Linked DNA regions of Struthio camelus. Each later gene encodes a partner of the first gene's protein in a complex. Links are inferred from orthologs where the notes say so. Each region holds a gene or a part of one and is shown on either strand. Other genes may lie near its edges. The genes, in order: LCK and CD8A.

The links.
Region 2: the proteins of LCK (region 1) and CD8A are in contact, whole or in part, in an NMR structure (PDB 1Q69), measured with the Homo sapiens proteins. The link is inferred for Struthio camelus from reciprocal best matches to the Homo sapiens genes LCK and CD8A. Residues at the interface, in NP_001036236.1 of Homo sapiens: Cys20, Asn22, Cys23, Tyr25, Pro26, Ile27, Val28; in NP_001139345.1 of Homo sapiens: Arg212, Arg213, Val214, Cys215, Lys216, Cys217.

What each region holds. Positions count from the first base shown.
Region 1 is NC_090964.1:8,587,275-8,595,103, forward strand, and holds the start of LCK (tyrosine-protein kinase Lck), read left to right. Parts: upstream 1-4,749; 5' UTR 4,750-4,879; intron 4,880-7,829. Other genes in the region: myotubularin-related protein 9-like, read right to left, coding at 50-879; protein FAM167B, read left to right, coding at 1,937-2,236, 3,089-3,352. UniProt on the Homo sapiens protein: Non-receptor tyrosine-protein kinase that plays an essential role in the selection and maturation of developing T-cells in the thymus and in the function of mature T-cells. Plays a key role in T-cell antigen receptor (TCR)-linked signal transduction pathways.
Region 2 is NC_090945.1:80,836,477-80,844,206, forward strand, and holds the start of CD8A (T-cell surface glycoprotein CD8 alpha chain), read right to left. Parts: upstream 3,177-7,730; 5' UTR 3,041-3,176; coding exon 2,998-3,040; intron 2,305-2,997; coding exon 1,936-2,304; intron 1,105-1,935; coding exon 1,015-1,104; intron 332-1,014; coding exon 215-331; intron 1-214. UniProt on the Homo sapiens protein: Integral membrane glycoprotein that plays an essential role in the immune response and serves multiple functions in responses against both external and internal offenses. In T-cells, functions primarily as a coreceptor for MHC class I molecule:peptide complex.

The DNA.
Region 1 (7,829 bases):
GGCGGTGACAGCGCCCACCCGGGCCACCCGCGGCTCCCGCCCTGCTTACCCGCTCCGGTCCGCGGCAGCGGCGGGCAAGCTGGCGAGGGCTCGCCGCGTGCGGGCAAGCCGGCGGCGATGCCCCGGCGGGCGCGAGGGCGTGGGAACGGCAGCGCCGTCCTCGCCGCCGCCAGCCCCGACCCACCGAGCGACGGTCGGCGGCAGGAACTGGGCGACGGTCGGTCGGCTCGGCGGCAGGAACTGAGCGGCGGGCGCGGGTGAGGCTCGCAGCCGCAGCTCGGGCTCGGCGCCCGCCCGGGAGGATGTCGGCTTTAAGGTGGCCTGGCCTCGGCGTCGCTGTGCCGGCGGGGACCCGGCCCTCGCCGTGCGGCCGGGGCTGGCGGCGATGCTCCCTAGCCAGGGCGGGATGCTCGGACCTGGCACCGGCAGCGCAGGGAAGCGCCGAGGGCAGCGCGGGAAAAGGGGCAGGAGCAGGGTGGGAAGGGGCTGCGGGCAGCGCGGGAAAAGGGGCAGGAGCAGGGTGGGAAGGGGCCGAGGGCAGCGCGGGAAAAGGGGCAGGAGCAGGGTGGGAAGGGGCTGCGGGCAGCGCGGGAAAAGGGCCAAGGGCACCCTGGGAACCGTAGCATGGGCAACAGCACAAGGGGACACGGGGCTTTCAGCACGGGGGACCAAAGGGAGCTGGAGGCAGCGTCCTTGGGGACCTCTCCAGGTTTTCTGGGGCTGCAGGCGGTGGCAGGAGGTGGGCAGCAGCGGCCGTAAGCTGCCGTCATTCCTGCAGGCCCCGGCTGCAGGGAGCAGCCCTGCGGCTGCTGTGGCCATCGCAGAGCCTTCTGCGCCGGGAAGAGGGGCAGAAGCCGGGCGTAGGGGGTGCCAGCACATTGGCAGCGTGGTGCCTCCGACACCCCCACGCAGCCCTCTACGTGTCTGTGCACACACTAGCTCCGAGCCCCGTGCGGGGCAGCGGGGGGCCAGGCCGAGCCGGTGGCCGGGAAGAGGGGGGAGTGGCGGGGGGCCAGGCCGAACCGGCTCCAGCCCCGGCCCGCGGGGCTCCTGGGGCCGCTGCTCCCTCCCGGCCCGGCAGGTTCCACCTTAACGGCGACGCAGCTGCGAGCAGCAGCTCCAGGGCTGCAGCGACCTGGCGGTGCACAGCTGGCTGCACAGCTGGCGCCGGGGCCACCCAAAGCCCTCCGGGGTGAGCCCGGCAGCACCCCAGGGTGCAGACCCCGGGGTGCCTGGCCCGGGGTGAGCACCCCCCTCCTGCCCGGCACTGAGCCGAGTGCTGAAAGCGGAGCCCGGCGCTGCGGGACGGAGCAGCAGGTTTTTTTTTTTCCTTCCCCATTTTTTTGCTCTGCTCGGAGGTGGCATTCGGGGACCTCGCAGCCCTCCCTCGCTCCCAGCCCGGCGGGAAGTCGGTGTCGGCCCCGTGCCGATAACAGCGCGGGAGGGCAGGAGCGCCCAAGGATAAATCATTCGCGCCCCTGCAGGCCTTGGTGTCCTCATTAATGCTTCCTCCGTGGGGAGTCTCCTCCCAGCTGGAGACAATAACACTAAAAAAGAAACGAAACAAAAAAAAAACACCCCCCCCCCGTCCTTCGCAATTCTCTGGATAAGTAAAGTTCCTGCTTGTTATAATTATCACCGGCGTCCCCAACCTTTATTGTTCTAGGGGTGGATAAATAGCTGCGGCTCACGCACAGCTGGTGGGAGCGGGTGTCTTGCAGCCAGCGCTCCTCACTCTCCTGCGTGCACGAGCGCTTTGGGGGGCAGCGGGGTTTGCACGAGGGCTTTGGGGGGAGCAGTGGTGTTTGCACAAGGGCTTTGGGGTGCAGCGGTGTTTGCACGAGCACTTTGGGGGGAGCAGCGGTGTTTGCACGAGGGCTTTGGGGGGCGGCAGCAGGGTTGCAGCAGGGCGCTGGGGCTCCGCGCGGGCGCTGCCATGCCCTTCAGCCAGCTGAAATTCAAGGAGCTGGGCGAGGAGGAGCCCGGCTCGGACGAGGAGAGCCTGGACAGCGTGAAGGCACTGGCGGCCAAGCTGAAGCTGCAGACGCGGCGGCCCTCCTACCTGGAGTGGAAAGCGCGGGTGCAGGGGCAGCCCTGGCCGAGCAGGGCGCCCGAGGGGGCCGGGGAAGCACGGGGGGCAGAGCGGGTGCCGGCGCGCCCCGAGGAGCTGCCGGCCGGCCGCCTCCGCGGCTTCGCCTCCATGCAGGAGGCTCTGCAGTGGCTCAGGACGGAGCTGGTGAGTGGGCGCCGCGGGGAGTGCAGCTGGGCGGGGGTCCCGAGGGACGGCGGGGGGCGGCCGCGGGGCTGCGCCGGGCTCGGGGCGCCCCAGCTGCGGCTTGGCGCAGGGGCGGCTGCTTCGAGGGGTGCGCGGCGCCCCGTCCCTGCCCGCCTGCCCCGCACGGCGCCTCGCCTGCTCCGCCGCTGGCACGGCCCCGGCGTCAGCGTGGCGCGTCCCTCGGGCCGGCGCGGCCGCCCTGGCCTCTGCAGCGGGTCACCGCAACAGCTGTGCGGGTGCAGCCCCAGGGGCGGCCGTCCCGGGGGCACGGGTGCACGGTGGGGGCGTGCATGCGTGTGTGTGGGCCCCGTGCATGGTACCAGGGAGGATGTGTACACACACATGCATGGGCCCCATGCATGGTGCTGGGGGAGGATGTGCACCCACATGTGCATGGGCCCCATGCATGGTGCTGGGGGGGGATGTGCACACACATGTGCATGGACCCCATGCACGGTCCCGGGGGGGAACATGTGCACCCACATGTGCATGGGCCCTGTGCACAGTGCCGGGGGGGAACATGTGCACACGCATGTGCATGGGCCCCGTGCACGGTGCTGGGGAGGCATGTGCACCCACACGTGCATGGGCCCCCTGGATGGTGCTGGGGGGGAACATGTGCACACACGTGTGCATGGCCCCCGTGCACGGTGCTGGGGAGGGGATGCATGTACGTGGGCCCTGTGCGCAGTGCCGGGGAGGGGAGCGCTCGTGGCCCCCGGAGGGTTGTGGCCCGGCTCCCCTTGCCCGGGGCGAGGGCGGGTGACCCGGGTGGCGGCGGCAGCACCCTGACGGCTCGCTCTCGCCGCGCAGCGGGAGATGCAGGCAGCCGACCAGCTCCTGGCCCGGCAGCTGATGCGCCTGCGGGGGCAGCTGCACCGGCTGAAGGTGGAGCAGGCCTGCCACCGGCACAAGGAGATGCTGGACGACGCCACCTTTGGCCTCGAGGGCTGCGAGGAGGACTCGGACCTGCTCTGCAACATCCCGCCCAAGGCCGCCTTCCTGCTCTCCACGCCGCTCAAGCACATCGGCGTCACCCGCATGAACATCAACTCCCGCCGCTTCTCCCTCTGCTGAGCGCGCCGGACCCCCGGGGGCCCCTCGGCGGCGGGGGGCCACGGTGCAAAGCAGCCCTCCGAGAGGGAATAAAGGAGCTGAGGGCGAGCGGCGATGTCGTTTGCGGAGCCCACCGCCCGGGTCTGTGCCGCGCGGCGGCAGGTGCCCTCTCCAGCATCCTGGCAGCGCTCGGGCCGAGCGGCTGCGGGAGATGCCCCGTCGCTGCCGGGTCGCGGCTCAGCTGGAGCCCGCGGCCGAGGCCGGGAGGCGCCGGGGGCCGAGCAGCCCCGGTGCCCGGCGCCGGCCCTCGGCAAGCAGCGGGCCCCCCGGGCGCCGTTTCCGGCCGCCGTTTCCTGTTCCCAGGACTGCAGCAGGACGCGGCGGGGAGCAGCCGCAGCGCTCCCGTGATGCCGGCGGAGCAGGGCTGGACGCGTGCCCGGCGGGGCCCGGGGCCGCGGGCGCCTGCGCCAGGAAGCGATGCCGGAACCGCGTCGAGGCCGAGCCGGCGGCGGCCGCCGTGCCGAGGGCGAGCGCCCCCGGCCCTCTCCTCTTTCCCGCCGCGTCTCTTCCCGTGGCCTCTCGCCGCGTGGGGCTGCTGGCCGGCCCCGGGCACCGTGCCGGCCGGGCTGGGCCCTCGAGCCGCCGCCAGCGCCTGCCGCGGCCCCCCGGCGCGGGCTGGGCTTCCTGCCCCTGCCTCCGCGCAGCAGCCGGCACCGACCTGTGGCTTTGCCTCCGAGCGCGAAAGCCAAGACAATAGCTTTGCGGTCGCTCTGCTCGGAGCGCTCTCCAAAAACAGGGGGCTGGCGGCGTGGCGCAGCCCTGCAGGCGAGCTGCCCCCAGCCCGCGCCGGCCCCGGCCTGGCGTCCCCGCAGCTCCCGGTGCGGCTGCAGGGGGGCTGCCGCCCTCCGCCCGGGGGCTCTCGTGGCGCCGGGGGACGATCCGGGGAGCATAATAAAATCCTGGCCGCCCCAGCCCCTTGCAGCATGTCCCCCACCCCACGCAAGCCCCCGCTCCCCCTCCGGCCGGGGTCCTGGCGGGGGCGGCCCTGCCGGCTCCGTCCCAGCCCTCGCCGGTCGCCCCGAGCATCCCCGTCTCGCGTCGTTCGCTGCCCGCTCCCGACGCCGTGGGGCCCCACGCTGGGTCCCCCCCTTCCCCGGGCTGCCGCGTTCACGCGGGTGGGCTGGGTGCATCCACCCGGGGTGAGCGCGGGGGGCACCCGGTGCCGGCGGGTGGGAGCCCGGGCGCCGCTGCGCAGCCCGGCCCGGCTGGCAGGAAGCCCCTGGGGTTGGTCGCCAGCACTTGCGGTCGTGCGCGAGCTGTGAACCAGCTTCTCTAGAGTTTGCTCATGAGGCAGGAAACCAGGGAAGGCGGCGAGCGAGCGAGCGTGAGCGGCGGCGGCGGCGAGCGCGCGCCCCAGGCTCTCGCCTCCTCGCCCGGCACCGTCTGCCCGAGGATGGAGAGCAGGGCGTGAGCGGGCACGGCGCCTTCGCTCCCGCTGCCGGGCCATGGAAATCTGAGCGCGGCCGGTCCTCGCCTCGCTGCCGACAGGTACCGGGTGCCCGGGGCGCCCGCGGAGGGGTTGCGCCGGCCCGGGAGCTGGGGACCCCGCGGGAGCCCGGCCGGGGTGGAGGGGGTCCCTTCGCGCTCTCCAAAGTCACCCGGGCGGGATGGAGATGGGGTGGGAGCGACGTCCCGGGAGGGAGCCGGCGGGCGCCGCGGCCGGGCGCAGGCTCAGACACGGCGCCTGGGCGGTCGCGCCGGGCCCGGGGCCGAGGAGAGGCCGTTCCCGGGGCGGCCCCGAGCCCCCCTGCCAGGGCTCCCCGGCCGTGGGTGGCAGCCGTTAGGCACCGGCTGGGTTTCGGTGCCCGTCACCTGGTGAAACCCGGCTGGTTTTGGGCGCTGAGATGCGGCTGCTTTAGGTGCAAACATTGCCGTGCCACAAGGGCAGGAAGGGGCAAGTGCTCGGGTCACCGGCATCTCTGCAAGGCTCGGCGGCGCTGGGGCACCCGGCGGCGCTGGGGCACCCGGTGGCACTCGGGGCCGAGCGACGCGGCCGCCCACGCTCAGGGCTGCGAGCAGCGCCTTCGCCGCTGCCACCGCCCGGCCGCCAGCGAGAGCGGCCCGAGGCGGCCCGGGGAGCGCTGGGGACCCTTGGGGAGCGGAGGGAGGGGGTCAGCCCAGCCGCCAGCCCTCGCCAGGCTTCGCGTTCAGCCACGCGCGTGCTGGCAAAGGCACCAACGCCGGCCTGGCCGAAGAAGCGTGCGCACAGAAACATGGCATCCGGGCTGGCACATGGCAGCTCCTCCAGAACCGGTTGCACACGGGCGGACACGCCGGCAAGCAAACCCAGGGAGCGGTGCCTGCACGCATGCGTGGGCACCTGCATGCATGTAGGGGCACATACACGCGTGGGCACCCACACCCATGTGTGGGCACATGCAGGCATGCGTGGGCCCCTGCACGCACCCGCGAGCGGGTGCAGGCGCCCGCAGGCCGGCAGGCGCAGCCCTGCGCCCCAGAGCCGGGCCCCGGCGCGGGGCAAGGGCGCCTACACACATCACTCGCACGCAGCCTTGACACGAGAAATTCAGTTACACCGATGCAGTTGCAAAACCTGACTTCAAACGCCCCGCGACACGGCATGCCCCTCACGCTGAGCAGGTGAAACGGTTGTTTGGTGGAAATTACTCTGTGGCTTGAGTACATAAAAAAGAAAAATTACACACAGCACCAGCACGCACCTCCCTCCCTTCCCCGGCTTCTTGCACAAAGGAAAAAACACCTCTTGGCACTGTTTGCCTTCGGTGAGCGTGTCAGCGCTCGCAGCTCGCAGGGCTGCTTGCAGGCTTGCGAGGTCGCACGGCTTTTCCTCCGCCGGGGCCGAGGTCTTGCCCCGGTTGGGTCACTCGGGGCCGGCCCCGGGAGCGGACGGAGCCCGCGCTCAGCGGCCCCCGCGGCCCCTCGCCCTCCTCGGGCCGCCGCAGCCCGGCCGAGCGCTCGGCTCCGGGCCGTTAGCCGCCACCAAAGAGCTTCTTCACGTAGGTGCAGCCGGAAGCTGAAAGCAGCCGGGTGTTTTGGGGGGTGTCAGGCGCCCGAGCAGCGCTGGAGGGCACGGCGGGGCTCGCGCGCCCACCCTCTCCGTGCCGGCTGCCGGGGCAGCTCGCGCCGCGGGGCGGATGCGCCGTCCCCCGGCGGCACGGCCGCGCCGAACCCCCTTGTGCTTCTCCATCGCGGGGGCGAGGGAGGATGTCCGCCGTCTTCAAAAACAGCCCGCGGCGCAGCCGCCCCGGCCCGGAGAGGGGAAGACAGGCAAAAATGTCAAAAAATACAGCCCGCGCCCCGGGCGCTGACGTGGCAGCGAGGCAGCGGCTCCGGCGGCGGGTGCTGGGGCCGGTGCCACCCTGGGGACCCCCCCGGTTCCCACGCCCCGGCTGGCTGCTCCCCCCCAGCCCCGTGCGGTTACGCACATGCAAGCGAAACCGCTCGAGGGTCGCGTCCCGCTGCCCTCCAGCCGCCAGCCCGCGTGGCGGCCAAGTTAAATGGACGCTTTTGTGAAAAGCAGAGACGCGTTTTTAAAGGGTGGCACTCTGGGGAAGGGAAAAATAAGGAGAAGGTAGCGTCGGTGTTAGCAGCGCCGGCGGGCATCGTCGCTCCGGCGGGATGGCCCCCTCTCCCCCTTTGGCTGCCGGGACCCCCGGCTTCGTGCCGCGCTCGGCCGCGGCGGGAGGGCGCGAGCCTCCCGGGCGGTTTGCAGCGCCCGGGCGCTTCCTGCGGCGTGCGGCACTGCTGCCCGGCGGCCCCGGCGCCCAAACCGTGCAAACTGGGGGATGCTCGAGGTCCGGGGGGGGGGTCCCCGCTGTCGAGGGGCGAGCTGCCGAGGGGCCCCCGAGGAGCGACTGGGGTTTAGAGCACAGCCCTGATGCAGGAGAAAGCAGAGCCCAGGGGCGCGGGGGTCCGACCCCCCCCAGCCCTCAGACGAGTCGCTCTGCAGGGGACGGGCCCTGCCGGAAAAGAGAGCGCGACGCCAGCGGGAGGGTGCAGCAGCCCTGCGGCCCCGGGGGCTGAGGCGCTAACGGGCCCGGCGGCTGCTGAGCTCGTTAGCGCTGCAGTTTGCAAAGCTCTCGGCCCAGCGCAAGGGTAACGAACGCCCCGGGGGCGAGAAGGAAACTGGGGGTGACGCCGGGGGTGGGTGCGTGGAAGCTCTTCCCGCCGACTGCAGGAGCTGCTTTGAAGGCCAAGGACCTCGTCAAATGCTTGATGCAACGCCACGCAAAGAATTATTAATTGCTAATCGAGTAGTAACGATAGACTGATTAAGTAAAAGGGAGCCGGTAGGAATCAGCCTAAGGGCTGCGAGGGGGAAGGAGCCGCGGCAGGAGGGGGCAGCCCCAAGCCGGGGCGGCCGCAGGGGGAGGCTGCCGGGAGCTCGGGAAGCACCGGCCCGGGGAAGGAATTGCCATCGGCGTTGTTAATTAGCAAAGGCAGAACAAAAACCGCG
Region 2 (7,730 bases), on another chromosome or scaffold:
TGATTATTTCTCAGGCTAAATCTAGAGATGGGGTGAATATGGAAACAGATTTCAAAAGTGGTCCTCCCTTTGGGTTCCCTGCATCCTGGTTAGCTCATGCCTGCATAAGGGGAATAGCTGCAGCACGTCCCTTCCCCTGAAGGACAGAGCCGTGCTCTTCGGTTTCAGGCTAGAGGGCTATCTGTGGGATGGGGGCTAAGCGCAGGTCTCTTACTTTGACACAGAGTGATGGTGATCACCAGGGCAGTGAGGAGGAGAAGACAGCCGCAAGCCAAGGGAACCCAGATGAAAATGTCACAGAAGAAATTCAGTCCTTTCTGCTTGCTTGTCTCTGCAGGGATAAAGGAGAGAGAAGAGGAGATGTCCACTAGGCGCTCGGGACGGGTGTTACGGCCAGCGCTGGTGGAGGTGTGCAGAGACCCTCAGCCAAGGGACCCGGCCTGCTTTCAGCGAAGCTGATGTTAGCTGTAGGTGAGGCAGAGGGCTTCCCTGTCCCGCAAGGGAGGGTTGGTCGCCAAGGGGTCCACAAGCACAGCCCATGTGTCGTCCCGGTTCCTGGGGACCTGAGGGAGGGCGCGTAACCTAATGTTTTCTTGCGTCCCCTGCTGAGGCTAAAGCGAGCGCCAGCCCGCAGGGCTCTGACCTCCTTCAACCTCTCCCTCTTCTCAGTGTGCCCAGCCGTGAGATGCATGCTAGGGCTTTTAAAGTCATCCTTAGCCTTTCTGGAGTGGAGTAAAACAGGGGCTTGAATTTTAATCTTATCTGTGTGTACCTCATGATCCAACTTTGATAAAGCTTAAAGGATCTTCCCTCTCCCCCCATTCCCAAAATGCCTTTAGCCAGTACAGGCTTTGCACTTGGCTCTTCAAACCCAAAACACCACTGTTGGCCTGGAAAAAATGTAGGACAACAGCATGTGGTCTTGCAGCAAGTGCGGAGGATCCCCTGTATGTGGGCTGAGAGAGGCCCAGCAGAGCCTGGCTCCTTCCCTCTCCCTCCCTGCAGCTCCGTTACCTGGTGCGGGCGTCTTTAGGCAGGTCTCTGTCTTGGTGAGGCTGCCCTGGGTGGTGGGTGCAGCTGTGGTGGGTGCCTTTGTGGTTGGGACTGCAGGCGAAAATGGAGGAATAGGGAACGTAGTGAAACACAGAAAAACCAGCATGCTCTCTACCTCCCCTTTGCTCTGCCACCGCTGCCAGAACAGGACCCAGCTTCTGGTAACTTTGCATAGCCCATTTTGGACTGTGGCTCCCCCATAACAACACTCCCGTGAGTGGGATTTCCCAAGATCATGGCCCAGAAACACACTGCAAGAGCTGCAGTCTCCTTATCTCTTCTTTTCTGCTACAACCCCTACAGCATCTGAGTCCCATCTTATCAGTAGCTATCAGGAAAAGTGTACTGAAAGCCAGGATGACCTCTCAAGTATGACCTCTGCTTTGCTTGTGATTTTCTTTTTAAGGTGCTGAAAGTACTTTGAGGTTGGGAGGACTTCTAGGGCCTATGCAAAGTGGGGAAGGAGGGGGTGGTTGTGGACTTACTTTTAGTCCTATGCCTTCTGAGCTGTGAATGGAGTGGGAAGGTGACCCTGGGTCCGTCCGATCATCTCTGCCTCTGGGCAGGGACAGTACCACAGTTGGTTGTATAGACCTTGCACCCTATTTGAGGATTCCCAAACCCTGATAATATGAGTGGTCAGTGAAGATGAAGAGAAAAGGGGATGTAGCACACACAGGAGGGCTGCAGAGATGTTCACCAGAAGAGCTGGTGAGTGGAGAGCCTCCAGCAGAAGGACCAGTGTATTGATTACAAGATGCATTGGGCAAAGAGGCAGAGGAGATGGGGTTTATGGGAGATGGTTCTGATTAGAAAAGGCATGGACAAGGGCTGTTGGGGGTTTTGGCAGAGCAAACAGAAGTGGGCAAAGATGTTGCTGACCTGGGATGAAGGCAGGCTGGCCGTTGCTGAAATGCAGCATTTGGTTGCTGTTAATGAGGCAGAAATAATTTCCCTGGTCCTGCACCGAGAAAGACTTTATGACCAGTCGGTAGAAGCTGCTGTCTCTCATTGCCTGAAAGCGTGCAGATGTTCCCATGTTCCCTATAAAGGTCGTCCGAGACAGGGAAGAAATGAACACGATGAAGTGAAGGGTGCCATCCTTGTCCTGGCGCATCCAGGATACCCCACTGTCCCTCTCGGTAGGCAGACACTCCAGCTCCAGCCGCTGCCCCAGAATGGGGTGTGTGATCTTGCTGTCCCGAAACCTGGCTGTCATCTTGTACTTCTGGCCCTGGATCCCACAGCAGCCTGCAGAAGAGAAATCTCGTCTCCCTTCACAGTCCGCTCGCCCTCAGCGAAACCACTTGGAAAAGCCGTGTCCCTTCTGGACGAAGCATGGGATCTGCCTCTTGGGGCTTAGTCTTTGTGGAAAACCTTTTTCCTTGCTAGTTAGTGCTACGCAGAAACACGGGGTGTGGAGTAAAATGCCAAGGGAGGACCACGCCATCTGGCTGACTTAAATATTTCACTTGAGTCCTTGCTGAGAGCATGCTTAGAAGGTACTCAGCAGTCACCCACCCAATCTTTAAAGACAGATCCTCCCATTCAGAGGAACCTTTCAGGTGCCTTCTCTGGAATGGTACCGTATCCCAACTTATTTAAAGTGACTCCCTAATAATGTTGACTGCTGAAAGCCCCATTTCCTCCCTTTTTCCCTCCCTTCCAGAAAGAGTCATCTGGCTGGGCTCCGTTACCCATGGTGTAATGCCAGAGCTACACTGCTCACTGCTCTGCACAGATGGATTTGAGACTTTCTGTACCTCCACTTCACGCGTTTACCAAGCAAACCTGAAAGTTAGTCTTTCTGGTCTGCTTTTTTTCCCCCCCTTTTGACTTTTTTTTTCCAGTTTATTGGATTCAGACAAAAGGGGAACGTCTTAACCTCTCGTTTTACTTTCTGCTCCCGGACAAGGTCATATACCGCCTTGCTTCCATACTTACCGAGACCCAGACTGAGCAGAAACAGCAGCGGAGTTCTGGCCATTTGCTCCTAGTGGTGACCGTCCTCAAGGGTGGTGCAGCGGCACAAAGATGATCTTTCTAGGTTGACTTCGGAGACTGTAGTTTTTTGGAGAGGATGTGACGTCATCAGGACCCTCTTATGTAAGGAGACAGTTCTAAGCATCTAAGGCAGAATGAAGTATGAAAAGATTTCTGAAGAAATTCAGCTTTAAATCAATATTTGGGCTCATTTACCTTTTTTTTTTTTTCTTTAAAGGAGTCTCAAGGATTTTTGCCTTGACCACTTTACTAGAGAGTAATACTGACAACACTTGTGCTTGAAATGGGATCAGCCACCGTAAATTGCCGTCTCCCAGTCGTTTGGGGGATTTACATCATGTCTAGCTCTGCAGGAAACATGAAAATGTCCCATGCCCTGATGCGGACCCCAAATTGCATTTCTTGGCAGAGTGTGCTCTGGAGTGGTCTAGTGTGGACATGAGAGCACGCTGTGTCTTATTATACAGCAAAAAAGTCCACAGTGGTATTTTACAGCATGTATCCATACATATATATTTTTTTAAATCTCCAAGAGATTTGCTGACATGCAGGTTGGCTCCTCTGGTGCCTTTGCTCAGTTGTTCCCTTTTCAATTGTTCTTTGCAATTTCTCTGCAGAAGTTGCTTTGTGCAAAGCAGATGGTCTGTGTAATGTGAAACCCATCAAGAAAGCCCCACGTCCCAGTGGTATGCCTTTTTTTAACATTTTGAGGTTTTCTTCTGCAACCACAGTGACTTCCGCCCTGCCAAATAAACCCTTACACTCTTTGACACATGGCGCCCTTGCTGCTGTCTCCTGGTGACCACTTGCACAGGGGTAGGGGTTTATACTTCCTGCAGCTCTGCACAGCACAAGAGCAACTTTTTCACCACACCAGAGAGGCTTTGGGCTGTTGTATTCTTTCCTTCTTATTTTGGTCCCTCCTGCTTTTCCTGCCTATTTTTTGGGGGTTGTTTTTTTTTTCTCTGAGCGAGATGTTGTTCTGTTACCCCTTTGCAAAGAAAGACCCCCCCCTTTCCTGGGCACATCAGAGACCAGGCCCTGCCAACTTTGATGCGACTGCTGTTGTGGCTGCTACTTAGAGACGATGGTTGCGAGCGAAAGAGCTGGTTTAGGCACTGGGTTTATTTCACTGGGCATCAAAGCATCTGGAGGGAGTGAGGGAAGCTGCTGTTGGGCCTGCTAAGACCTGGACAATGCATGTCTTCGTGAGGCTGTGAGACTTCTGATGACTGCCTGAGTGGAACAGATATTTGTAAAATGAAAGAGAACATCAATTTCGTTAAATAACGTTGCAAGGATTCAGATCTAGAACTCCTATCAAGCAGATGTGAACTTCAGACTTGAGGGGAAAGTCATCTCTTTACTAACGCCAAGTTAGGCTTTTCTATTTCTCTTTTCAGCGGGTGGTTTACTCTCCTTATCCGAAGTAGAATTCACACTTCTCTTAAAATGGGATAAAGTGCCTTTTGGAAGTGTCTGTCCTCACTTACTAATGCAGGAACCTAGACAAGCAACTTAAGCTACATGCCTGCCTTTTAGATGCCTGAAGTTGGATCTCATGTTTTCGGAGATGCTGAAGTGAGTTGGTTCCTACCTTACATCAAGACCCCCCCGCTTGCACCACTGTTACAACTCTGTGACACAAAAGCAAAAGTATTTCACAAATATTTTAAAAAGTACAACCCACCAAGGGCCAAAGTAGGAATATTGATGGTTCTCTTTATTCAGTGTGGTTTGGATGAAAGCAAACCTGTTGGCAGATGTTTAATTTCTGGAGGACATGTTCTTTGCAACGCAAAACAGGGAGACTCAGTGTTTATCAGAACTAGATTCTCGCTCTGCCCAAGTGCACTCTGCCATGCCTATACTGTGGAGTTAATATCCTCAGGTATATGGTGATGGGAGACCTATATAATTAGAATAAAGGATAACCTAGTGAAGGCTATTGCCTTTTTTTTTTTTTTTACTAGGGATATCTTCCTTCTCTCCTTTCTATAATGAACAATATATTTTGTTTATGAATCAGTCTCCAGATACCAAACTGGAGCCCAGTGGCTCCTCTCCTAGGTGCAGAGGGACCCCGCAGCTCACTGCTCGAACTGGTTTCCCTGTGAGACCACCCTTTCCTGTGCCATGTTTAGACCCTGAGTGCTATGCTGGAGTTCAAAGGACTCCTTTTGATATTTTTCTTTGCTGAAGTGCTTTATGACTTTCCACTACAGGAAAGATGCCTTCAACCCCCATCTCTTTTGCTGCCTGCTTGCTGCATTGCACGGGTCCTGTCGAGGGGAGCCTCGCTGAGGCACAGGAGATGGCATTAGGGGGAGCTATTCCTTTATACAGTAAGCTCCTAATGAATATACCCCTTTAGGGCAAGACAAAAGGGTATTGTCAGTAGAGAGCTAGAGATCAAACCAGGCTGTCATACATCTCTTTCCAACACGGACGCCCTTCGTGGGCCAGAAGAGGAGCCGGGGAAGTGTTGCTTCCATGGAGAAGTCTGTGTCTGATTGCCTGAAACCACCCTTTTTATGCACTTCCATCTCTTGTGTCCTAAATAATACATTCGCTGGGGCGGGTATCCTGTATTTTTGGCCCTGTGTGTATATATCGCTCAGCACAAAGGGGTTTCTATAGTAACAAGTAAGTACAACTAAAACAGTGGCGAGGGTAGTTATTTGAGTATGAAAAGCTGCAGGCACAAACAAGACCTCTAGGAAAAGCTGTACTTTCAAATCTGCTCCTGTATAAATAATTTAGATCAGCAGCACAGTGGTGCGCTCTGATCTCAGCTATATTGGGGCCAGTGTGCTGCCGTGCTGAGGGGTGTAAATCTGGTGAGACTGGCCCCGTCAGGTCTGTGTACGTGCTTTGAGGTCCCTTGTTGTAATGCTGTGAATCTCATGTTGAATGCAAAGAATGCAAATCAGTCCGGCAGCTTCAACTCAGCAGAAAGTATACGTGTATTTTACACTGGTCACCTCCTCTGGAATGGGTGGTTGAGATGGTTAATGAGATTAATTTGATTTTAGCCCGCTCTAGTTTGGCAGTTTATCCTCTAGATGATGCTCTGCAGTAGACTTGTCGTTGTTAGACTGAGGGCCAGACGTCAAATCAGCAAAAGCTAGTGTTAATAACATGTTTTTATTAATAATTTCTGTTGCAGTGCCACAGTTATGATATGACTAAGGAAGAAAAGACAATTTGGACAACCAGTTACTTCTACAGAACATTTTATAAGAGATGTGAACGGATCAGACAGATTGGTTAGACAGTAGACGGTAACTTTTTTTTTTCTCCCGTACCTACCAATAGGTTTCATTTTACTTTTGAGTTCGGTCGCAGGTCTCTGACTGCTGGTGAACTCTAACCTATGTTGCTTATGACTGAGACTGAATTATTATATACTAAGGCCAACCTGGATTAATTTGTGATGTTCCAGATCCACTTGTTCTCAGCTTCTTTGCTCCTTAGCCCTGCTGGATCCTCACCTGCCAAACCAGTGATTGCCAAGAGCACTGGTGGGGTGTCAGTCACGCCATGACATAACACAAACTTGATCCGGATGTGGTCATCTCACATGCAAAGATGGGGTGGGAACAGTGAAGGAGAAAAGCAGCATATCAGTGTGTGGGATCTTTCCCTTCATTGCAGATAGAATTGTTTTCCCAGGATCCAAGCAAGTTTGTAAAACAAAATTGAACTGATTTTGTAAGAGAGACAAGATTGGGTGGTGGAGGTGCAATTATGATTAGAGCCACTGATAGAGTTGGAAAACAGAGATGAGCTTTCAGGTACGCAAGTCCTTTCTGCAGTGAGAAACAGGAACAGCAAGGTTTGCGGTATGTAGAAGTTGGGGGGATTTGATCTCTGTTTAATTTATTTATATGTCAACAACTAAACAGAAGAAGGTGTGAGCAAAGGGAGAGGAGACAAAGTCACATGGGGAAGAGACAGACTGACAAGGGCTAGCGTCTTTGGGATGGGGCTTGGCAGGAGGTGAGTTCAGGATCAGTTTTCTCTGTACTTGCTGAGGAGATTTAAGTTGGTAAAGCCAGGGGAGATTTCCCAACATGGACCAGGACACAGATTTACGGTAATGCTAATATATTCAAGAGTGGGCTTTTGAATGGGGGTCATCTCGGTTTTTGGAAACATTAGTGGGGTTGCATGGGTTATCTATTAAGTCTCTCTCCCTGCTCTTACAGAAATTGTAAATTAAAGGAATCAACACTTCTTTGAAGTAGTTAAAAATTACATCCCTTTAACAGAGAAGACACTGGAAGTGAGAGGGCACTTGCGGTATCAGATATGCTGAGTTTTGGGTATGACTGATGTCTTAGCCATTTTATGGAAGAATCAATTATGCAGCGAATTTTTTGTAGCAGTAACAATCTCATCAGCTGAGTGGTATGGCTGTCCTATAGGAGTGTGTGCCTGGTAGCAGGAGCCTGTCTCAGGGCATGGAGTTACATTGTGATGGTCAGGAGACACAAGAGGAACATCACAATGACCACGCTCTCTCAGGTCAGTCATTTCTGCTGCTAATGGTATTTCGCCAGAAGGCTTGAAAAGAAGAAAACCTCTGTTCCAACAGCTTAAGCGACAATACAACATTGCTTATGAGGAGCAGGTGCTTCTCGAGCCCTGCAGATGATCATGTTGCGGTA